3 linked regions of the Tribolium castaneum genome follow. The protein of the gene in region 1 purifies or fractionates together with the protein of each later gene. This does not show direct contact. Links are inferred from orthologs where the notes say so. Each region holds a gene or a part of one and is shown on either strand. Other genes may lie near its edges. The genes, in order: Pop1, Pop4 and Rpp30.

Evidence for each region.
Region 2: the proteins of Pop1 (region 1) and Pop4 purify together in Homo sapiens (affinity purification with mass spectrometry; 5 studies listed by BioGRID and IntAct, counting the BioPlex papers as one, with this or other methods). This does not show direct contact. The link is inferred for Tribolium castaneum from reciprocal best matches to the Homo sapiens genes POP1 and POP4.
Region 3: the proteins of Pop1 (region 1) and Rpp30 purify together in Homo sapiens (affinity purification with mass spectrometry; 5 studies listed by BioGRID and IntAct, counting the BioPlex papers as one, with this or other methods). This does not show direct contact. The link is inferred for Tribolium castaneum from reciprocal best matches to the Homo sapiens genes POP1 and RPP30.

The regions. Positions count from the first base shown.
Region 1 is NC_087394.1:32,928,280-32,932,509, reverse strand, and holds Pop1 (ribonucleases P/MRP protein subunit POP1), read right to left. Parts: upstream 2,920-4,230; 5' UTR 2,751-2,919; intron 2,701-2,750; exon of another isoform or gene 2,680-2,700; 5' UTR 2,670-2,679; coding exon 990-2,669; intron 939-989; coding exon 675-938; intron 628-674; coding exon 352-627; 3' UTR 322-351; downstream 1-321. Other genes in the region: zinc finger protein 774, read left to right, coding at 3,354-3,409, 4,064-4,230. UniProt on the Homo sapiens protein: Component of ribonuclease P, a ribonucleoprotein complex that generates mature tRNA molecules by cleaving their 5'-ends. Also a component of the MRP ribonuclease complex, which cleaves pre-rRNA sequences.
Region 2 is NC_087401.1:15,382,783-15,386,111, reverse strand, and holds Pop4 (ribonuclease P protein subunit p29), read right to left. Parts: upstream 1,953-3,329; 5' UTR 1,474-1,952; coding exon 1,467-1,473; intron 1,415-1,466; coding exon 893-1,414; intron 845-892; coding exon 708-844; 3' UTR 707-707; downstream 1-706. Other genes in the region: uncharacterized protein F58A4.6, read left to right, coding at 76-281, 325-706. UniProt on the Homo sapiens protein: Component of ribonuclease P, a ribonucleoprotein complex that generates mature tRNA molecules by cleaving their 5'-ends.
Region 3 is NC_087398.1:7,285,575-7,289,207, reverse strand, and holds Rpp30 (ribonuclease P protein subunit p30), read left to right. Parts: upstream 1-1,450; 5' UTR 1,451-1,549; coding exon 1,550-1,646; intron 1,647-1,701; coding exon 1,702-1,838; intron 1,839-1,885; coding exon 1,886-1,957; intron 1,958-2,004; coding exon 2,005-2,073; intron 2,074-2,117; coding exon 2,118-2,392; intron 2,393-2,778; coding exon 2,779-2,858; intron 2,859-2,905; coding exon 2,906-3,054; 3' UTR 3,055-3,106; downstream 3,107-3,633. Other genes in the region: uncharacterized protein LOC103313092, read right to left, coding at 5-360; uncharacterized protein LOC658939, read right to left, coding at 516-685, 733-993, 1,044-1,341. UniProt on the Homo sapiens protein: Component of ribonuclease P, a ribonucleoprotein complex that generates mature tRNA molecules by cleaving their 5'-ends. Also a component of the MRP ribonuclease complex, which cleaves pre-rRNA sequences.

The sequences.
Region 1 (4,230 bases):
ATTAATATTGTGTATAACGTAAGTACATTACAAAAAATTGTATACCAAACATCCAGACTTCACATAATACAATATTGAGAAGTACTGTGTTTTTTTATGACCCGTTTTTTCATCAAAGTGAGCGTAAATCGGCAATTTAGTGTAACAACACTTATTACCATTCCGTAAATTGATTATTTAAAAAACGGCTGCACGCCTCCAATAAAATATTTTGGAAATTCCTATACAGCAATAAGAAATTGCATTATTTTTTATTCAAAAAAATTCGGCATTTGCAGCCTCCCCATGTGGGTATGTATTTGTAAATAGCAATTATAAACGTTTTCCTGTAATAAATTTATATTCAGCCAGTCACTCTACAATGACGCTTAAATTCGCAGTTTTATATTGCCGAGAATTAGTATTCCTCAACAAAACCTTATTTCTAAAATCAACCAACTCCGATAAACAATCGCTAGTTATATAACCCGTCCCTGCGCTTTTCCCAATCGAAAAACTAAAACCGCCTTTCGAAACAAAACCTACAACTTCTCTGCTACACGAATGCCTTATGGTAGTTGGCTCAGGAAGCCACAGCGCTCTCATTTTCTCCGTATAACTGCGTAAAATCTCACTGTGATCATCCGACTAAAACAGACTTATCAACAAGTTCGATTAAAACAAACCGACATTACCGCAAGCTCCGACTTTAATTTGCGTTTCTTCCGCAATTTTTTCAACAAACTTTGATGTGCACGTCTCAATTCCTTCCGCTTTTCCTTATTTACATCCTCGCAATTCGGTTCCAACAAAACTTCGCTCAAATCACTCTTACATTTCGGGACACAAATAATGGCATACTCGGCCAGTGAGCCCCGCTTCTCACACTCAAGTCTAACAGGAATGAGGCAATTTTGGGGGCACTGTGGCACCGGGTGTGTCTTAGAATTGAGAAAAGCCTAAAACAATCAAAACTTAAAGTTCACTTTTTACAAAGACAATTAATTTACATTAATCGAATGAAGCTGTTTTTTGTCCCTGAGGACTGAAAATTCGCCCGTAAAGCCACTGTTCCAGTCCTTGAGCAAAAGCCTCCAATTGCAAAGCAAAGGACTTGCGATTTTAAATTTACTGTAATTGATTCGTTTATTTGGAGGTTTTTGGAAAAACGTAACCCTGTGCTGGTTTGAATGTCTCAGTTCTTCCTCAAAACCTGCGTCCGTGTCCGGGTGAAGCAACTGTGACTTTCCCATTTCGTAAAGCATTGAGTCTGATTCCCTCAAACCCCCAACCCTTGCTCCCCTCATAACGAAGGCAATCCAAAACGGTTTGGCCCAAGCCGTTGGTAGGATGACATCCCATCCACTCCCTAAACCAACGTTCTGGGTTTTATTCCCTGGCCTTTGGATCAGGATAATTGGAATGTGGCCAATGGTCCCTTTTAAATCAGACCCCGGGACTAGTAAACCACTTTGCAAGTCAACAATTTTTGAGTCAGACACTTTATTTTCATTTGAGTACGTTCTGATGGTCTTGTCCCATAAAGGATTCGCGGAAATGTTCACAGGAATTTGATCAAATTCCAATTTCCCGAAAGTTAAAACACTTTTTATGCGCTTTTTTGGAAGATTCAATCGGGGGTCTTTCACAATCAAGGGTAACACGATGTGGGGGGAAACCTCATGTAGGGATGCCACCGAGGCTAGTTTTTTCCAAAACTCGCACTGATTTATAATCACTGCTTTATTCTCCGGCCAATCAATGTATTTTTTAAGAGGCGACTCTGGTACTAATTTAATATCATAAATGTCGATCAAAGCAAGCGCATCTTGAAGAACTGGATTAGATAAAGGCCCACTGAGTCTAAATCTGCTCAACTCAAGTCTAAGTTCGTTTATTTCGATCTGGCAGTTTTTAAAACACTCAACTAGTGTGTTTTTCGTGGTTGAATAAAAAGCGGCATGAACCCACAACCACAATTTACATTTTTCGTCAATAGAGGGTTGCCACTGGAACATGACGTTCCCGATGGCTTTTTGGAACGAATCATAGAGACAGATTTCACCCTCGCGGTTACCCTCAGAAAAGGCTTTCGCCCCAATACTTAAACCCTCGCCTGGCTTACACAGGAGTTTAATTTTTTCAATAATTTCGCTTTTATCGCCGTGGATTTCCACACAACTGTAGTAGGAAATGTCCTGTAAGAGGCAATGTTGGGTCATTGCCCTGTAGCAGGCACGGAAGGCCTTATCACAAGCGTGGTATGGCAACTTGTAGCCCCATTTCTCCACCATGTGGAACCGTTTCGCGTGCCAGATGTGGGTTTGCAACCATTTGTACTTCTTATTGGCCCTTTTGGTGTATTCTTCGAGGAGGTTTCGCGGTTTTCGGCGGTATTTGCGAGAGGGGCGCTTCTGTTGCGTTGGCATTCCGGATTTTTTCATTTGGTTTAAATGGATTTGGCGGAGACGCCGTGGTAGTCTTTTGACGTTGTGGGACATTGCCCGGCGTCTCATGTGTTTCGGTAGAGTTTGGAAGGCCAGTTTTGAGCCGGTTTGGGTCAGGAGGGAGTTTTTCATGATTTGGATTTCTTGGCTGCGGCAAGCCACGAATTTCGATAAGGAGATGTTCGAAGGGAGCTCCTCGGAGCCCCCCAGAAGGGCGTCATATTGGGCTTCTTCGTCAATCATGGTTTTGACGCTAAAATCACCACATTTTTGACTTGAACGTAACCTCAAAAATTGTGACACTGGTTTGTAATCTTGACATACCTTCCAGGCGCTAATTACTGAAGCTAGCAATGAATATTATTGAAAGTAAATTCGCACTTATCACATTTTAATGTAAAAATTGAGAGAATCATTCAAATTTACCGCGTAGCTTTAAAACAAAAAAATACCTTTGCTAGTTTTAATCGTCAGGTGACGCTGCAGTCGTTTATAAAAAAAATAGAATTTTGTGCGCATGAGTCTTACTTTCCATTCAATTCAAAATTTAAAATGGTTTTCTTGGCATTGATACTAAAATAATGTTTTAAGCTGAATTTAAATCATTATCGCAAATTTATGAATATTGTTCACTTGAATCTAGAAAGCTATGACAGTTTGTCCATAATTAGTCAAATGAAAATCCATCAACATTCAATTTTTAACAATTTTTTAAACAAAATACATTCACTAGCCTGTTTTTGTGTTTAAATTTTTTCAAAAATTTAAACGTTTAAATTTTCTGATTGAAATGATTGTTTGTTTTTTATTATTACTTGATAAAGTGTGCTTTTGACTATGTGAGTAGTTTTTGTGAAAAATCTGTTTGCATTAGTTACAAAAGTTCCTTCAAGCTCTTCTAATTGCTTTAAATTGGAATTATAAGAAATGGATCAGCTAAACTTGAACGCAGATTTCTTAAAATTCGACAAGGAGAATAATGGGTGAGTACAACAAGCCCCAAAAAAGCGAATTTTGGAAATACAGTTTTAAGACACACATCGCAACTTCATTTGTGACTTCTGTTTTAACAAAAGCCATAGACAAAAGCAGATTAAAATTCACTTATTTTGGAATTGTTTTGTTTATTAGAGCATTAGCGTCCCATACAAACTTTATTTAACTATTATCATTATTTCTACCACATAGCAATGGGGGTTAGTTTTAGAGTGCCTGATATAATAAATTAAGTACTTAATTGTTTCAGTGAGTGTAAAAAAGGTATACGTAAGTCTAAAAATGATGTTTTCAAAGTTCTGAGATAAACATCTTGCGTAAAATTCACAGACGTAACTCACCAATGTAACAAGTTATTATACCTACAGAATGTCTCAAAATTGGCGAATTTCGGGTTCAAAGCGTTGTAGAGACACTCTGTTTAAGAGTAATTTCAATCAGATGCTTTGATTCACGGGTTAATCGCAAAATAAATTTTAACACCAACATAATTCATATATTAAATCAACCTATGTTTCTATTAGGAAAATCTTAAAAAAAATAAAAACTCGTGTGGCTTGTTTTAATGGGTTATTCTGTATAAAAAATGATTTTGAACTTTATAAGTGCTTAAATACACATTTTTTTATATTTAATTTTAGGGATGTTAAGAGAGAAATCGATTTTTTGCAATGTGGAAACTTTAACTCTGTTCAACCTAGTTCGTCGTATTTATCGAACATATTTTCGAACACATTAGACGTTAATGCCAATTTAAATAATCGGATGCCATTGGATTTGAGCAATTTGAAAGATCTAGACGGTTTAT
Region 2 (3,329 bases), on another chromosome or scaffold:
GCCAACCTTGCACAAATCCCCTAAACAACATAACCTAAAGTGTCACCAGTTTATTACGATGAATTTACAAAAAAAATGATGCAAGTCGGGTTAAGACTAGGCAAAAACGGCACTAAAGGCCCCCCTTGTGTGCTCCGAATCGACTGCGTGTTCTACCACTACTTGCTGAAGGAGTTGAGGTTAAGTCGCTTCTACCGGATTTGCTTCATAAAATCGCAAAACAGCCGCAACTTTAGCTTTATTCTCCTGGAGACACGTTACAACCTAATTGACTACCAATGGTGAGTCAATTAGTGTCAAAATTGGGGGCTAACACTTTTTCAGGAACGAACGAGTGGTGGAAATGGTGCGCGAGCGGTGCGAGCTGGACCACGCCATGTCGTGGTTGTCCACCCTCGGGGGGGCTTTTTCAGCCCTTGGTGACTACTTCGCGAATTGTGCCCAAATCGCCGGGAAAATCTCCGTGAATCAATTGAAGCTAGCTTTGAGGTTAGGTGACCCGACTGTGGCCGCCAGATGTCGCCTCTACTTTAGTCTAAGTTTAATTCAACAAAAACGCTTCAAACTGGCCAGGAACATAATTTATCAGGAGTTCACAACCGCGAAAAATGCACTTGTTGTGGACGAACGACTTGTAAAGATGTGTAAAGGCATTTGGTCGAAATTACAATATGAGCATAGCTTGGGGCGTAAGCGCAAAAAATAAATCACAAATCTGGTAACATCACCGACTTGATTTTTTTAACGCTGCGCTCGCTGGGCTTCGTCATTATGTGTTTGCCGAAAACTGTGAACTTCATGGCGTCCAAGACGAACTCGAACACGGACGTGTTTTTTGGAATAACTGAAATCAAGCGATTTAGAGACGATTTAAAATTATTGCTTGAAATACTTTTCAATTGTGATTGTTGTGTGACGATCTGGAACGTCATTTTCGTTTCCAAGACAACGGTCCCAGTCAGGCCCACGTGACTGGGGCACTTGGACCGCGCCACCTTGATCTCGCTCCCGATTAGCTCAGATTTGGCCAAAACTGCCGAAAAGTTGGCCCAGTCTTGCTCACTACAGTGGGGCGCACGCCCGGCCAATTCCAGGTTCTGTCTCATGTATTGACGCCACATTTTCCTGATCCCTTCAAGTGAATTGTAATCCCAGTCTGACTTTGGCAATTTTAAAATGTTAAGGTCTTTTCGCTCCCTTCGAGTGAGAAAAGTCTTCTTTTTCCGGATCGGTTTTTTTCGCTTTTGCGAACTTTGGTGTTTGTCGAGGAGGAATTGCCATTTCAGGTCGTGGCGTAGCTGTTGGGAGTCGCTTCTAGGGAGTTCCTTCAGGAGCAGTTTTTGGATGTAGGTGGTGGGGTCCCCGATCTCGGGGGCGTTTTTGAGGTACTGGTCGGGCAAGCTCGTGTATAAATCTGGGGGAAAAACAGCAATAAAACGTTTAAATGCTGGTTTTAAGCGATTTACCGGCCATTGGAAAAAACGAGGTTAACTGATGTCAATCACAAGTGGCGCGAAGTTTAAATTTGAGTAAAAGCGCCGTAACTTTCTCTTTTTTTATTGTTATTCGGGTGTCAAAGGTCGGAATTTTTATTAAAGTGCGGTGTTGACAAAGTTGGGTTAATTTCGTTAATTGGCGGTTGATTCGGAATTATTCGAAATGTGAAATTCGTTAATTTTCTCTCAAATCTGGCAGACGCGTCTCTTTTTTCGTGTGAATTGCCGCTGTCTCCGCTTTAAGTGAATTATGAAAGGATGAGATATGTCTGGGAACGAACCGCCAATTGTGCGTTTTTGTGGGTTACGTATTTCCATTTATAACTTTCTTTTGACGAGACGCATCTTTTATTATTACATTACATTACGAATTGAACTATTGCACAGGAAAGTACAAGTCACGTCTAAGATTAATTTTCAAAATGTCACTTCAACTGTCTCTTCATGTTACGTTATAGTCGAGATTCGTTGCGATAAAGTATAATAAAAAAAGTTTCCAGTTTGTTTAACAGCATAGGTAATAGAGTTAGCTATTGTCGGGGTCTGAAAGGTCGGCTACTTTCAGGTCAAAGGAAGTCAGGCGGAAAGTTCCTTGTTTGATTCGATTTTTGGGACTAATTAGTAATTAAGGAACTGGAGAAGCAATCTGGCATAATAATGAAATGTTCAAACATCCACTCACTCTACACCTTATTTGAAATCAGTGCTATTTATGGCCAAAGCCATCAATAATTTTTTTGATCGAAGCTTTAGTCGCTTGTGAATTTTTTCAAATTTTTTCTACCCTTTCCTAATTAAAATTCGGAAAAATATCACAGGCATTGAAAAAATATAAATGATTTAAGAGCAAAATCCTGATTTTTGTGCGATTAGTAGTATTTGAGATTTTTTTTGCTTAAAATTTCGTTGGTCAAGGCAAATATATACCTTCATAAAAGTGAAAAATTTTTTTTTAACTCACTCCAGCAAATTTTTATGAACTTCTATATGTCTTAACAACCCACTAAAGTTGTTAAAAGTGCACAAAAAGTCCATTTGATCGATTTTTTGATGTTTGATTTTTCCAATTTTTGTTGCGATTTTGGTCAATTTTCGGCGCCCGGAACATTTATCGAGCAATAGCTCCGGAACTATTAGAGATAACACCATGAAGTGTATTATCGTTGGAAAGCTCTTTCAATTATCTATTTTTTTCAAAAAAGATTATAGTTCTCCGACTAATAGTTTTCGAGCAAATTGCAAATAAAAGCAAAAATTAGTAAAATTTTAAAAAATTCATAACTAAAAAAATATTCGGAATTTGGGAATTTTCTCGATGCCAATCGATTCCCCGGATCATTTTGCATAGGTATGGATCAAAATAGTTCCACTTTTTGGAATAGTTTAGCCGTAATTGAGAAAAAAATAAAAATAAAAAAAAGTTAACACAAAAAAAATTCATAACTAAAAAACTAAAGGTCGTAGAGCAATGCGGTTTGTTCCATTGAATTCAGCGGCTCATTTTCTGTATTATACCAACTTTTCACGAGATTTAAAATTTTGATTTTTTTGCTAAAATTTCCTGAGTAACACACTTACCTTCACGAAAGTGAAAAAATTAAATTTTTTTAAAACTCGTTCTATCATAGTTTTTCGGACTTATATATGCCTTTACAACCCTCTAGAGTTGTTAAAAGTCCAAAAAACGTCCATATGTTCAATTTTTTATGTTTGATTTTTCCAATTTTTGTCGCGATTTTGGTCGATTCCGGGTCTCCGGACATTTATCGAGCAATAACTCCGGAACTATTCGAGATAACCCCATGAAGTGTATTAGCGTTGGAAAGCTATTTT
Region 3 (3,633 bases), on another chromosome or scaffold:
TTACCTCCAGACAGCCCAGATTGGGAATAATAAATGTTCCAAAGTTTTAATCAACCACCACAAGAAATTATCACACCCACAGCCTTCCATTTCGGGCCACAATTCCCATGATGATGTTAGCACAATGTATGAACAAAGTGAGGGAAAATAAATAATAAATAAAGTGACGGAGGCCCATATGGGATCATTATCCTTGTAGTGTCTGAACACCACAGCACAGTCACTTGCAAACAAAAAAACATACAGTAGGAAAGAACAAACTGAAGGAATGAAATAATTTATTATAACGTCCTGTCTTGGCGTGAGTTCGTAATTTAGAAACGTTTTCCTTAAGTGAACCTTTCCTTTGTTAACACTCATTTTTAGAAAAATTCAGGTTTCTGACATGATGAGTCAAATTTTATCACACACTGAGATAATAAACCATTTCCAGCGTTATCAGTATTGATAAACATGAGTCAATTTTCATATATTGTATTTTACACTATTTTACTATAACTTAACAGATTAGTGTATTATCTGGCAGGATGTAAGTCTTCCAAGTAAACCGAATGTTTTTCCAACATTTCCGCTACAGGATCTTGTTTATTACATTCCGGGTCATATTTCGCTCCCAGGGCCCATAAGGAATCTAAATCATATACAGTCCTAGCTTCGCGCGAAAATATGTGAAGGGCTATATTTCCTACAATTTCAGATAGTAAACAATTGAAAACAAAAAACAAAAATTACCTAAATCTAAAGCTAACCAATCCTTTGAATTTTCGCCTTCAAGCTTAGGGATAAGATCAGTTTTGTGCATTTTTTTCTTATAAATCATCCTAACAAACTGAGCAATTGCCTTCATATGTTTGTGTGACTTTCCAGTAACAACGCAAATGTACTCAACATACTGAATTTCTTTAGGCACCGCAGCCACAAAAATGTCTTCAGCATTTTCAGAGTGAAGCACTTCGATCAAGTCTTCAATATTATAAACACCATTGACACCTCCTTCAAAGAGACAATGTACAAAATGTTTCAAACACTAGTGATTGTAATACTCTCTAAATTAAGGCCCACAAAAGGGTCAGGTTCCTCCTCTTCAATCGCATTCACCGGATTTGCGTATTTACTCCGGTCCTCGTAAATATCGAGTATGACTTCGGAGTCTTCATCTCGAAAAATCTGGTATTTTGAGCTCATTTCGCCAAGAGGTGTCTTTGTTGTACTTTGGGATGTGTCTGGGGGTTGGGTTTTTGTACTTTTGCCAGATTTCAGTCTCCGCTGGACACAGTTTTGTAATAAATAGAGACACTGATTTTGCGGCCGCGTTTTGCTTAAAAGTCGTGTCACAAACATGGTTTTTATTAAATTAAAATAAACAAATTTAGATTTTGAACATAACCTTTCAAATTGACGTGCGTCAAAAAAACAGAGACAGATAGATTAGTTTTTAAAAATTTAGACAGAGAAGGATGACTTTTGACAGATTGTGGTAAACATGTGCTAGTGCTAGGTTAGGGATTGTTTAAAAATTTATTTTTATAAAAAAGTAGTATTACGGAACATGAAGTTGGAAGTCAGAGGTTTTTTTGATTACGGTGTCTCTGAGCATTGTTTGGACAACAACAAATATGAATCGACCATTAAATTGTTGTACGATTGTGAGTTGCAAACAATTTTATTAACAGCAAATTTCTGAGAGAAAATGTATTTCAGTCGGTTACAGGACAATAGCAATAAACCAAACAATCGATGCAAATGAATTAGAGCAGAAAAAGAAGAAGAAAAAAGGTGAACTTAGAGAAGGCCCCTCAGATTTTGTACCAGAACCCTACAAAATAACTCCACTTGAAGTAATATTTTTACCGAGATTTTGTTTAAATTAATATCAATATTGCAGGGTTACGAAGACTTAACTATTCTAAACCGCTTAACAATAATTTTTTCCAATCAAGACGTGATGCATAAAATTGTAAGTTACCCTGATAAGGTTATAAATTTGTTACATTATTATTTTAGACAAAGTCTTCACACTACAAAAAATATCACATAATCGCGGTTTTACCTGAAACGGTTCAAGCAAATGCGGTAAGATTTTCAACAAACAAAAACGGTTTAACACTTTTTTGTAGTTTGTTTGTAGCAGCTTTGAAGCAGACATATTATGCTTTCGTCCAGAGAATAAAAACCACATTAAACGTTCAAGAAAAATGTACAAGCAGCTAATAGACAGGGGCTATCATTTTGAAATACCTTACGCGCCTGCTATTGAAGACGCCGCTTTAAGGAGAAACATTATACACATGGCACATCTATATCACATTTTTATCAAGTCAAGAAATGTTATCGTGTCGAGCTTAGCCGAAAGACCTTCTTTGCTTAGGGGGCCTTATGATATCATTAATTTGTAGGTATTCTTAATTATTGGATCAAATATTTTTTAATTAGTAAATTCGCAAATACAGTTAAAGTGCGTTCGTTTAATTATGTAATTTTTCTGGTCTGACTAATGGTGGGAAAAGATGTATTTTTTGGCAGGAAGTTATAAATTATTTATGTACTTAAAAAAATTATTTAAATTGGCATTTCTACAGTTTTGAAACAGTTAATAATCAATTTTAATTTTAAGTCATTGTCACTGCAGGGGTGAAAGTTCTACAAACTAAAAAATTTGCATCGCTATCAACCTAATAATTTCTTAACGGTGCTGAGGGAGACAACTTTGTAGTAATTTTAATAAATGCAAAGCTATAAATAGGAGTAATAATACGAAATGTTTTTTTATTTTTGTAGAGGTTTAATATTTGGATTAAATGAAGAACAAGCAAAAAATTCCATAACAACTTGTGGTCGCAAAGTTTTTATCAATTCAGGTAAATTAGATACGTTTGTAGTTACAAAATAATTATTAATGTTTTAGTTGGTCGAAAACATGGTAAGGCTGTTATGTTTGCTGAAAATGTGGAAAAAGAAGAGAGTTCAAACGATTGTGAAATAATAGACTGTGTTGACGAAAGTGAAGAAGACATGGAAATTGATCAACCAGCATTAAAAAAAGTTAAACAATAAGTTTTTATTGTGTTTTTTAATTGTGTTATCAATAAAATAATTGGAGTTAAAATTGTCTTTTTTTATTATTAACAATAAAATTATGCTGCTAGAAGAGAATGTATAAATAGGTGCTGATCTAATTAGTTTTTAATTGCAGTTCTCATATTTAAATAATAAATATTCTAATTAACAGGTCTGATAAATCAATACGAGTTTTGTTGCAAAGAAAGTTTGATTGTCGCTTATGCAATCCATTGCCGGGTCTTGTAATAATCGGATATGGAGTAATTACACGTGTGTGTGCAAAATTGGCAATTTATTGATTGAAGGAGTGAGAAATTTCGAGTTTGAATTGGAACCGGAAGTGGTGTGCGGTGTAGTGGTGCGTAATTTCAAACTTGGCGCTTTGAAAGGTGGCAGCACCGTCGATCACAAGCGTAATGATAAAATGGAGTATTCATTTATACGTGCAGTTTATACACAAAATTTAATTAAGTGAATTCATGTATATAATCGTTGATAAGTGTAACTAATAAGTAAAATATCTCAAATACAAATGTGGTTATCAACGTAGCATAGTTTAACACTGCGGATAGG